3 linked regions of the Macaca mulatta genome follow. The protein of the gene in region 2 interacts with the protein of the main gene of each other region in a biochemical or structural test. Links are inferred from orthologs where the notes say so. Each region holds a gene or a part of one and is shown on either strand. Other genes may lie near its edges. The genes, in order: CREBBP, GTF2B and GTF2F2.

Region 1 (3,652 bases), on a different chromosome or scaffold from region 2:
AGTTGGAGCCATCGTTCATCAGTGGGCTATGGAGGAAATAAGGACACTTCATCCATCTACTGAAGCGACCCAAACATACTTTGTCTAATAAGGTTCTTCTACCACCACATGTGACTTCTAAAAGTTTAAGTCAGGAGAGCCAAGTAATGTATATAAATAAAACTTAAACTATGTTTAATCTATTATCTGCTCTACACTTACAATTAAAGAAAAAAAGGAAAACAGCATTCACCCCTCACCACCCCATTTAAACTATTTTCTGTGCCACACATTTAGAAAGAATCAGTTTTGTGTGGTTCTCAGTCCACGTTCTTGTTGGACTGTCACTCAGAACTGAAACAGGGTCTTACTTTGTGGCCCCCAAGGAAGTCGGAAGAGCTGATTCTGAAATCAAGTTTGGGGGCTGCTGATCTGTTGTTATTCCTCCTGCTGGAATGTTCATTGGATTATTTCCTTTAAAGACAGAAAGAAATCAATCAACTCTTAAATTTTAATATATACTTCAAAGTTTTGATGACAGATAACCAACATGTCATCACATAAACAATTGGTGATTATTTAAATAAGTGATTCTGGTCAGTTATAATAAGCACTGAGGCAGGAACCCCGAGTGTCATATTTTCAATAATGGTAATCAACGTGCACAAATAATCAGTAGACACCTCCCCACTCTACTTTGTAACCAAAGTAAGGTGTGTTTATGGAGATTAGCTGGTATCTAAGTGAAAAAGTTATAAATGATCCATATGCAGCCTCTGACTTTCATTCTGCTTCATTAGTATCACTCCTGAGTGACTCAGCTGCACTGACATATACCTCTGTGTCTCCACCCCCAATATCAGAAAATAAAATCATAGAAATTAAGCTCAGGAAAAAAATACAGAGGTCAATTTGTCTACAATCTTCATATTAAAGTAAAGGAAGGCCGAGATTAATAAAGGTTAAGTTTGTCCTAAATTATACCATCAACAGGAGAGGAGTTAGATTAAGACTTGGGTCTCAGGACTCTAACCCAGTCTCCTGGCCACTATTAGTTAGACATTCACTGGGGCAGTTGTTTTCCAAAAAGCAACAAATAAGATGACTTTAGCTGGGCATATTTTAAGGAATAATTGTTAACCGTAAAATACTTTATTAGGAAAAGAACAAAACTAGCACAGCCAGCCAGCCAGTCTGGACTTCACAGACATCACTGCTTAGCTTAAGCCTAGATGTAAAGGGACTGTGTCCACTTAAAGAAAAATATTAAGGAAACCATATGCAGAAATGGCAAAAATCATGGGTATGTGTGAGCAAATGACCAAAGGTGGGCAAATAATGGGCTGGGGTGACAAAAGAAATGCTGACATGTCCAGCAGCCTGGGAAAAGAGTTTCCAGGGCTCCTGTCATTAACCTGCCGAAGTCCAGGCTGGTCACTTCCAACTGTGGGGTAGACCCTAACCAAGATGTGTGAGGAAGTGGCAAACGCAAGTTCTCCATCAAATAAATGACAACAGTCAGCACGAGGGGTCCAGTCAGCATCCTGACTTGTGAGATCTGCATTCTGAGCCACATGGCACATTCTTTATGAAAACTGTCCAGAGAGAAGTGGCACAGCAAGCAACAAAAACATTGCTTCATTTGCAAATGCTGCTCTTTTTATAAGCATATAACATTTTCCTTGCATTAGACACTTCAGCTTTTTACTGGGAGATTTTTATTTCAACCACTGTAGTAAAAAACACAAAACAAACTGAAAACTGCCTTGGGTTCCATCACTCCATTCCCTTTGCTATATTTGGACAAGTAAGAATGAAGTTGAGAGTTTCTTCACCTACCCAGGGGGTTGAGAGTCCTCATCTGCTGGTGGGTTTGAGGCTGTGCTGGTTGCTGGCCAGGAACCTGAGGCTGCAGCTGCGTCTGGGGCTGGTTCATGTAGGGGAGTCCGAGAGCAGCATAGGCTCGCTGCATGGAGCTGGGGTCTATGGGATTTGGGTTACTTAAAGAAGTGGCATTCTGTTGCCCTGTGCCAACAGAACCAATTGTGTTTTGAATTCCACTAGCTGGAGACCCCAGGATGGCTATAACGACAAACAGACAGACAAACGAGAAAGGTAAGTAAAAGGGAGAAGCCCACAAATGATTTAAAAAACTACTGAGAAGCAAATACATTTCATCAAAATACTACACATGAATATCATAAAGCAGTAAAACAAGGCTAGGGAGAAAGGAACTGTGCTGAAGGACTCATGTATTCTGCCTAGCAGTAAGTGAGGAACAAAAAGTGAAAGAAAAGTGAAGTTTCTATCTTAGCAGGCAACAGATCATAAAATTTCACAGATAACACCTGAAAAAAATTAGTATGTTTTAAAACCTAGAGACTCCTCAAGAGGTCAGTTCCAGGGAGTGGCAAATGTATGACAAGGGAAACGTCTGATTCTCTGGTGGGCAGCAGACACCTTGAGATGAACAGAGGAGCACCCTCCTGCTGTTAACCCCAACCCTGTCCTTCACTGCTCACCTGCACAGGTACAGAGGGCTTAAGAGAAGGAGCAGAGATGATACCTCGTTGGTCAGTTTTGATTAATAAATCTATGATGTGCTCTTCTAAATCACATAATCGCAAGTCCTTGAAACTTACACAAGCAATGACAGCATGAACACATCCTTCTGACGGGATTCCTATGCAGCAGAGCACCATGCTGAGCTCTCTGGTTATATGAAGCTGTTTAAGAAATACTGAACTTGACTGATTGACTGATTTGTTTGAAATTAAGGTTGGAGTGAGGCTTCGCAATTCCGCATGGGTCTTGTTATCCGGGGCCACCTCAGCACCTCTGATATTCAGGAGGTGGCTCTGCCTCACATGGCCAACATCAGATTCTGCTACCCAGGCCCACTGCTGGCTGGCAGGGAAGCTGCCCCATTCAGCTAGCTAACCCCAGGAGACTAAAGGAAAAACTGGTGTCAACATAAGAAGCTCCATCCCAAAGGGCTTCCAAGGTAATGGAGAGACTACTCCAAACTTGCATCAACTTGCATCAACTTGGGCATTTCAAAGTCAATTCATCTACCCACCTACCTACCCACCTGTTTGCCTGCCCACTCATCCGTCCCAACAACCCAAATGTTGTGTGAAAATTTATCATATGGCAGAAGTTCTACATCATACTATTTATTCTTATTTTTGAGTTCCTTTCTAACTTCCACAAATTTTAGAGTCATGTTAAAAATAGCATCCTACAGTGTTGCTACTATAACACATCATTTTTTGATACATAAAACACGATCACAAAGCCTTTCTTTCAAATTCCAACCACTATGTGTAACAGTAATATTCTCACATTCAACCATCAGTGCACCTATAGTAACCCCAATACTTACCCAGAGCGACCTAATTAAACTAAAATGTGTGAAAAGAAAATTCCTGGTAATTATACATTCCATACTATTAACTTTTCTAATAAGGATACTCAGATCAACTCATTAACACTCATCAGACACAATTACACACACCAAGCACTCATTATCATAAATGAAAAGCAACTCCCAAGGTGCACTTTATGACAAGTGTGTAGCTGAAGTAAGTCATGCACAATACCTTGAAAAGTATTCTAATACTTACTACTCCCCAAAACTTTAAACATGTGTCCACCATACTTCTGAAACTGA
Region 2 (3,652 bases):
TAAAGGCCCTGTAATTTGGATTTAATTTGGATTTAATTTGATTTAAAAGTCTTCCCCACTTTAGGATGGAATAAACACACAAGTTAGCCTTCATTCACAATGATATTACTGGCAAATCTTATTAGACAGGTCAAGAGTCCCCACTGGTACAGTGACATACTTTTGCAAAGTTCCCAAACTCTCAGGTCTATGGTCATTCTGCAATTGGTATTTCCTGCCAAATGGACTTATTACCTTGCCAATCATGGTAGACAAATCTCCATCACTCAGAAGAGGATTCTGAGAATCTCCAACTCGAGATGGATCTTTTGTTGCTTTGTCATTGCTGAAAGTTCGCCATTCAGATCCCACATCGATAACCCGGTCACCTAAGAATATAAGCACATACCTGAATCATTTTGTCAAGATAAGGTTTACTTAACTACACTGTCCAATGCCCAACTAAGCCATTTTATTCCCAGGAAATCTCCACATGGACATCTAGGATCTAGCTCAAATATCACATTTCAGACATTTGTCCTAAAGCATTCCTTTAACTATTGTACCAGTCTAACAATAATCCTCTTGAAACATTATGCTATGATATTCTAACTCTTGGAAGAAAAAGAATGTCAAAAGTAGCAAAGTACAGCTATTCATATGTGATGCAAAGGCAAACAATGTAATAATGATTAAGAACCAGATTTTGCACAAAATTTGCAACAGGCATGGGAAAAAAACAGAAAACATTTTTTAGAATGGTATTAATGCAAATAATTTCATATTAAAACGTCACTAAGTTTTGGTGGGAAATGCTTTGCAGAAAATAAGCCTAAGCTTCTGTTTCAAAGTAACAATTTGATGAAAAATATATGTGGCCAAATAATTTATACAGAATAAACTTCAAGCCTAGAATCAGTAAGAACAAAGTCTGGTTGGCAAACTTTTCTCTTTAAGCCAAGAGGCAGCATCTAAATACATGATGTCAAAAAAAAGCAGACACAAGTAAACCGTATTATTACTGTTTTGGTGAGAAATCTCAATGTCTGGCAATACCTTCAGAGTAGTCAAAAGTTAACACTGAACACTTACACACGATACTCATTGTGCCCTTTTGTACATGTTCTCACTTAATCTTCACAGCCTTATCAAGGGAGGTACCACTTTTACTGCCACTTCACAAATAAGATGAACTAGCCTAAGATCACATAGCTAGAACTGAAATGCACATCAGAGTCTGTTCTACACTCCAATTATAAAACATGAGCTTTTTCAGTGAATTGTGATGAAGCTGAAAGTAGGAAGGAACCAGACCATTTCATCTTTGTGTATACACAGCAAGCAGAAAGAAACAAATGGCAGAAACCAGTTACTGCAGCAATTAGAGTTATGGTATTAACAGTCAATTAATATAATAGTCAAGAGTGTGAACTCTGCCCTTTGCTGCTTAGCCTTAGAATATTACTTCATTTCTATGTCTTTATTACCTCAGCTCTAAAATTCTCCTTAACCTCGTATTTTAAAGATTATAAAGATTAAATAAGATATTATAATACCCACGTATAGTGCATGTAAAGTGTTTAAAAAGTAGTACTACGTGCTCAATATTCGCTATTTACTGCTATGAAAATTAGAAAGATAGCATATATTCTGAGTTTCTCCTTTTTTGTGGGGATGATAAGGGAGAGGCATCAGTTTAAAATATTAATCTCGGGCCAGGTGCAGTGGCTCACGCCTGTAATCCCAGCACTTTGGGAGGCCAAGGCAGGCGGATCACCTGAGGTCAGGAGTTCGAGACCAGCCTGACCAAGATGGAGAAACCCTGTCTCTACTAAAAATACAAAATTAGCTGGTCATGGTGGCACATGCCTGTAATCCCAGCACTTTGAGAGGTCCAGGCGGGCGGATCACCTGAGGTTGGGAGTTCGAGACCAGTCTGACGAACATGGAGAAACCCTGTCTCTACTAAAAATACAAAATAGCTGGGCGTGGTGGTGCATGCTCGTAATCCCAGCTACTCAGGAGGCTGAGGCAGAACTGCTTGAACCCAGGAGGCGGAGGTTGTGGTGAGCTGAGTTCACAACAAGAGGGCAACAAGAGCAAAACTCCGCCTCAAATTAAAAAAAAAAAAAACCCAAATAACAAAACAGTAACATTAATCTCCATAGAAGACTTTAAAAGTTCCCAAGTGCTCTGCTAAGTACTTGATCAGGAGGACAGCAAAGAACAGAGAAAACAGAAGGAATTCCACCTAGACTATGCTAACTTTAAAATTTTGTATATAAAAATTAATTTAAATGCTCATAAACAACCAGAGTATAGTGATCATGTAATTTAATCTTAGTGACAGATTTAAGAAAAGGCTCGGCATGGTGGTTCACGCCTGTAATCTTAGCACTTTGGGAGGCTGAGGCAGGAAAATCACTTGAGCCCAGGAGTTCGAGACCAGCTTGGGCAACATGGTGAAACCCTGTCTCTACAAAAAAATACAAAAACAAATTAGCTGAGCATGGTAGCACATGCCTGTAGGGAGGCTGAGGTGGGAGGATCACCTGAGCCCAGGAGGTTGAGGCTGCAGGGAGCAGGGAGCCATGATTACACCACTGCACTCCAGCCTGGGTGAGTGAGACCCTGTCGAAAGTAAGCAAATGTTCAAGAGAATGATTCATTCCTGAAGCCTCTGACAAAATGTTTCTTTTTTCTTTCTTTTTATTTTTCAGACAGGATCTCGCTCTCTCGCCCAGGTTTGAGTATAGTGGTGCAATTTCGGCTCACTGCAGCCTTTGCCTCCCAGGCTCAAGCCATACTTCCACCTTAGCCTCCTGAGCAGCTACAGATATGCACCACTAATGCCTGGCTAATTTTTGTATTTCTTGTAGAGACGGGGTTTTGCCCATGTTACCTAGGCTAGTCGTGAACCCCTAGGCTCAAGCGATCCACTCACCTGGGCCTCCCCAAGTGCTGGGATTACAGGGGTTAGCCACCGCACGCAACAGAAAAACTTTTCTTTAAACAGCTGAGGTAAAAGTAGATTATCAGTTGGACTACCATGTGTCCACATTACAAAGGGATTGAGATTAGAGGCAGAGTTCCCATCTGCCATCCCTGCATGCAATGAGAACAGGCAAGGCAGGCAGAAGCAGGGCGGTAAGTCAGAAGGCAATTTTAATACATCACATCGAGGAGGTGGCCCAAAACAAGGAGAAAAGCGTTAGATGGATGGCATTACAAGGATTTCTCTATTTCCTCTTCCTCATAATAAACATCACTAAACTTAGGAAGTAATGTGAATTACACAGATTTTAAAAAGGTACTTAAAAGTATCAAATTGTCATTGTGCACTGAAACCTTACCAAACCACTGTGCAGTGAGTACTATTCACCAACAAACCCATGTCCCAAAGAGATCACACTAAAGAGATCAAGTTTTCTTCCTTTTTAGAAAATACTTGCTCACTAAAAGATGTTAGAAAAAAAAGTTACCTCCATTCCCAATACCCAGTGACGACCACTATATTTTCATATATGCTCTGTGTTTTTCGTTCATATGTATGCACCTATATGTTTTCCTAAAATTTAGATATTGTACCTGTTTCATGGCAAGCTCTTTTCACTAAATTCATCATAAGCACCAGCATAGTATTTTTAGACAGAATTTAGTCCCTTTAATAGCA
Region 3 (3,752 bases), on a different chromosome or scaffold from region 2:
ACAAGTTACTACTTCTTTTTTTTTTTTTTTCTGAGATGGAGTTTTTGTTCTGTTGCCCAGGCTGGAGTGCAACGGAGCAATCTCAGCTCACTGCAACCTCCGCCTCCCAGTTTCAAGCAATTCTTCTGCCTTAGTCTCCTGAGTAGCTGGGAATACAGGCGCATGCCACCATAACCGGCTAATTTTGGTATTTTTAGTAGAGATGGGATTTCACCATACTGGCCAGGCTAGTCTCAAACTATTGACCTCATGATCCACCTGTCTCGGCCTCTCAAAGTGTTGGGATTACAGGTGTGAGCCACCGTGCCCGGCCCAATCCTGTGATGATTTTCTAAATGTGACTCTGGTTACTTACCCTCCCCTCTAATTCGTACTGCACACTGCCAAACTTTTTTTTTTCTGAATAAATATTTGGCATCTCTCCCTCACTCAAATCCTCCAAAAAGTTTGTTACTTCCTTGTAAACTAAAGTTAGAACATCTCCGTTTCATGATATGACAATCTGAGTATATGGTCCCAACCTTTATCTACACAGATCTTCTGCTCTAGGTTCTCTCTGTTTTCCACGACACACCATGCTGATTATGTATTTTGAGTCTTGCATTTCTGTTCCATTCCCCATGGTATATGCTATGTCCACCCACCCAAATCCTGTAAGGCGTAAACACTGAGCATTTACCATGCTCCTAGAACAATGGCACCATCTCAAGTCACACCATTTTTTCAAGCTTTTTCCTTCAGTCTGCAAGGGCCATCTCCTCCTTAGTGACTCTCCTCCAATTAACACGCTGCTGGAGAGAGAAATGCCTATTTAATTCATCCTTTTAAGTCACACTGAGCTTGGAAATAAGTCAAATCAGTGCCACAGATTAAGGCGAGGGTTAAAGAATGAGAGGTCATGCATTTATTCATCACCTTTTTGTTGAGTAATTACCATGTGCCAAACACTATTCTGGGTATGACAGGCAAAGATCCAATCTCATGGAATGTGATTTTGTGTGTTGGAAAGACGGAGGTAACCAACTTTGAACATATTAACACAAAATCACTCTACACTGTGAAAAGTGCTTTGAAGAATGTAACGGCCAGGTGCGGTGGCTCACGCCTGTAATCCCAGCACTTTGGGAGGCCAAGGCGGGCGGATCACGAGGTCAGGAGATCGAGACCATCCTGGCTAACACGGTGAAACCCTGTCTCTACTAAAAATACAAAAAATTAGCCGGGCGTGGGGGCGAGTGCCTGTAGTCCCAGTTATTCGGGAGGCTGAGAGAGGAGAATGGCGTGAACCTGGGAGGCGGAGCTTGCAGTGAGCCAAGATCGCACTACTGCACTCCAGATTGGGCGACAGAGCAAGACTCTGATTCAAAAAAAAAAAAAAAGAAAAAAAGAAAAGAAAGAATGTAATACGGATCTGTCGTGTTAGCAAATGATCATAAGGGAGCCATTTTTAAGAAGGCCGACAAGAAAGACCTCTTAGATTTAATTGACGAGAACTCAGCCATATGATAAATCAGTTAAAGCATTAAGAAACCGAAAGTCCTTACATTTTAAGTCTCAACGACTTTCAGGATCACATTTTGAATTTGCTTAAGTATTATGAAACTCCCCTAGGAGAAAACACTTCCCAACATGAAACAGTAAAGCACAAATAGTGCCCGCTGTGAGCCAACCAAAATTGCTGTCTTTACATAAAACATTTATTGACGGCCAGTTTCATCAGACCCAAATGTGCTCTGAAAGAATACTCCAGTCCAATGACCTCTCCTGACCTCTCCTTCTGTTTGTTCAGGGCTCTCTCGCCTCTTTTGAGAGCTTCATTAAGGACCATTTACCTAAGAGAATAAGAGTACGCAGGGACCAGTTCTAGTTTCTCGCCGAAAAAACTGTACAGAAAGCAGACATTCAACTACCTCACACAGGCTCATGGCTAAAACCAGTTTCACCAAGGGAAAGATACAAGTAATTCTTCGGTCTGGGATAAAATGCACCGCCCAAGTCTAGGAACACCAAGACAGGGCTCCAGGAAAGCCGTGAGAAAGAGATCTAGTCCAGGCTGATTCAGACCAGTAACCGGCTGAAAGACACTTTGCGTCCCTAAACTAATCTCCTCATCTGCAAACAGATACAACAATGACTCCTGCCTCTCAAAATATGTGAAGCTCTAACGAGATAGCCGTAAAAGAACTTTAAGAGGTGCACGGAGCGGGATGGGCTCAAGTTACTTAAATTATACTTGTGTTAGGAGGAGCGCAAGTGGGAGACTCGTGAACATTACCTTGACTAGCCACACTCCTGTGTTCTGTTTGGCGCCGGTCAGGTCGAGTTCCCCGCGCTCGGCCATGGGTCTGTTGCCGGTGGACGCGTGTGGCCTACAGCAGCGACACCAGGAGCCGGAGGGCTGAGAAGTGGGCGTCCGGAACAAAGGGCAAGCCGCGCTGAGAGGTGAAGAGGCGGCGTTCCTTACCTGCCAGGACACTGGAAACCGGGGGGAAAGAGGAACACGCCGCCGGTAGCCAGACTGCGCCTGCGCACTGTACGTTCGTACGGCGCGCTGTTGCAGACAAACTTTCTGTTTCGGAAATTCCTTGGGTGGGCGTGGCTGTCAGCGTAGTGTGTATCTGAGGGATTAAAACATAGGGTAAGATGAGCCAAAACGTTAGCAACGTATTTAAAGACATGGCCAGCATAACTGAAGAAAAAGATTATCAGAACGGAAAAACGGGGTTCAAAGAGACAAAAGTTGTCAGAACGTGTCCAACCCTAGCCAAAGAGAGAGAAAGAATATTTGAAGGACAGGCTTAGGTTAGTAAATTGGCATCCCCCCTGGCCAACGTCATTAGCACAAGTGGGCACTGGGATCAGACTTGGTAGCCCTGGGTATATTGAAAACATGCCGTTTCTAGACCTGAAAAGAAAGCCGTGTTTCAGCTCAGAGGCTGCCCGAGCTCCTCTGATTAAGCAAGCAGAGCACCTCATATTCCAAAACCCGAAGGTCTGTGACGAAACGAACAAGTAAGAGACAAAACTGATCGTTTCCTCCCCTGCTTAAAGTTTTCTCTTTCTCTTCTTGCCTCTAGAATAAAATTCAATCCTCCTGCTTCAACTGGGCCCTCTTAATTTCATCCGTTTTCCCCTCCCACCATTACTCCACCATGCACCGAACCGCACCAAACCCAGCAGACTTCCCGGAACACGTCAGAATCTTCCTCGGTCATTTCAGAGCCTCTGCACACTGGATTCCCTTCCTTGGAAGCCCTCTTTTACCCCTGCCCTCACTCCCACTCTTTCCTCTGGTTGGCAAACTCCTACTTATGGTTCAAGACCAATGGAAATGTCACTTCTTATGAGATCTTTTATCAACTTCCCCAGAAGAAATTAGTTTTTCTTCACATCACAGTGTGATACTTAGCACTCTGCACTATAATACATATGTTTACATATCTGCCTTTGCTTTCCAGACAACGAACTCCTCCTAGGCAGAAAGAGCTTTATTGAGGTATAATTTACAAATAAAAAATGGTGCTTTATTCATGTTATATCCACAATGTATAGCACAGTGTTTGACACATTGTCAGGTTTCAGCAGGCTTTGGGTGAAAGAACATTCGCTGAAGAGAAACAAACAGTAAGGTATTGTTAAGAAGGGCAAGTAATGTATTGAATCACACATCAGAGCCTTGCACAAAATTGAGGAAATTTTATGTGTGTTCAGCACAGGGCCAGGAAAAGCTGTCAGAACTCTGCGATTAGCTA

What was found.
Region 1: the proteins of GTF2B (region 2) and CREBBP form a complex in vitro, tested with the Homo sapiens proteins (2 studies listed by BioGRID). The link is inferred for Macaca mulatta from reciprocal best matches to the Homo sapiens genes GTF2B and CREBBP.
Region 3: the proteins of GTF2B (region 2) and GTF2F2 form a complex in vitro, tested with the Homo sapiens proteins (2 studies listed by BioGRID and IntAct). The link is inferred for Macaca mulatta from reciprocal best matches to the Homo sapiens genes GTF2B and GTF2F2.

The regions. Positions count from the first base shown.
Region 1 is NC_133425.1:5,005,947-5,009,598, forward strand, and holds part of CREBBP (CREB-binding protein), read right to left. Parts: intron 2,062-3,652; coding exon 1,819-2,061; intron 454-1,818; coding exon 351-453; intron 27-350; coding exon 1-26. UniProt on the Homo sapiens protein: Acetylates histones, giving a specific tag for transcriptional activation. Mediates acetylation of histone H3 at 'Lys-18' and 'Lys-27' (H3K18ac and H3K27ac, respectively).
Region 2 is NC_133406.1:151,737,208-151,740,859, reverse strand, and holds part of GTF2B (transcription initiation factor IIB), read right to left. Parts: intron 369-3,652; coding exon 235-368; intron 1-234. UniProt on the Homo sapiens protein: General transcription factor that plays a role in transcription initiation by RNA polymerase II (Pol II). Involved in the pre-initiation complex (PIC) formation and Pol II recruitment at promoter DNA.
Region 3 is NC_133422.1:24,430,792-24,434,543, reverse strand, and holds the start of GTF2F2 (general transcription factor IIF subunit 2), read right to left. Parts: upstream 2,489-3,752; 5' UTR 2,342-2,488; coding exon 2,276-2,341; intron 1-2,275. UniProt on the Homo sapiens protein: TFIIF is a general transcription initiation factor that binds to RNA polymerase II and helps to recruit it to the initiation complex in collaboration with TFIIB.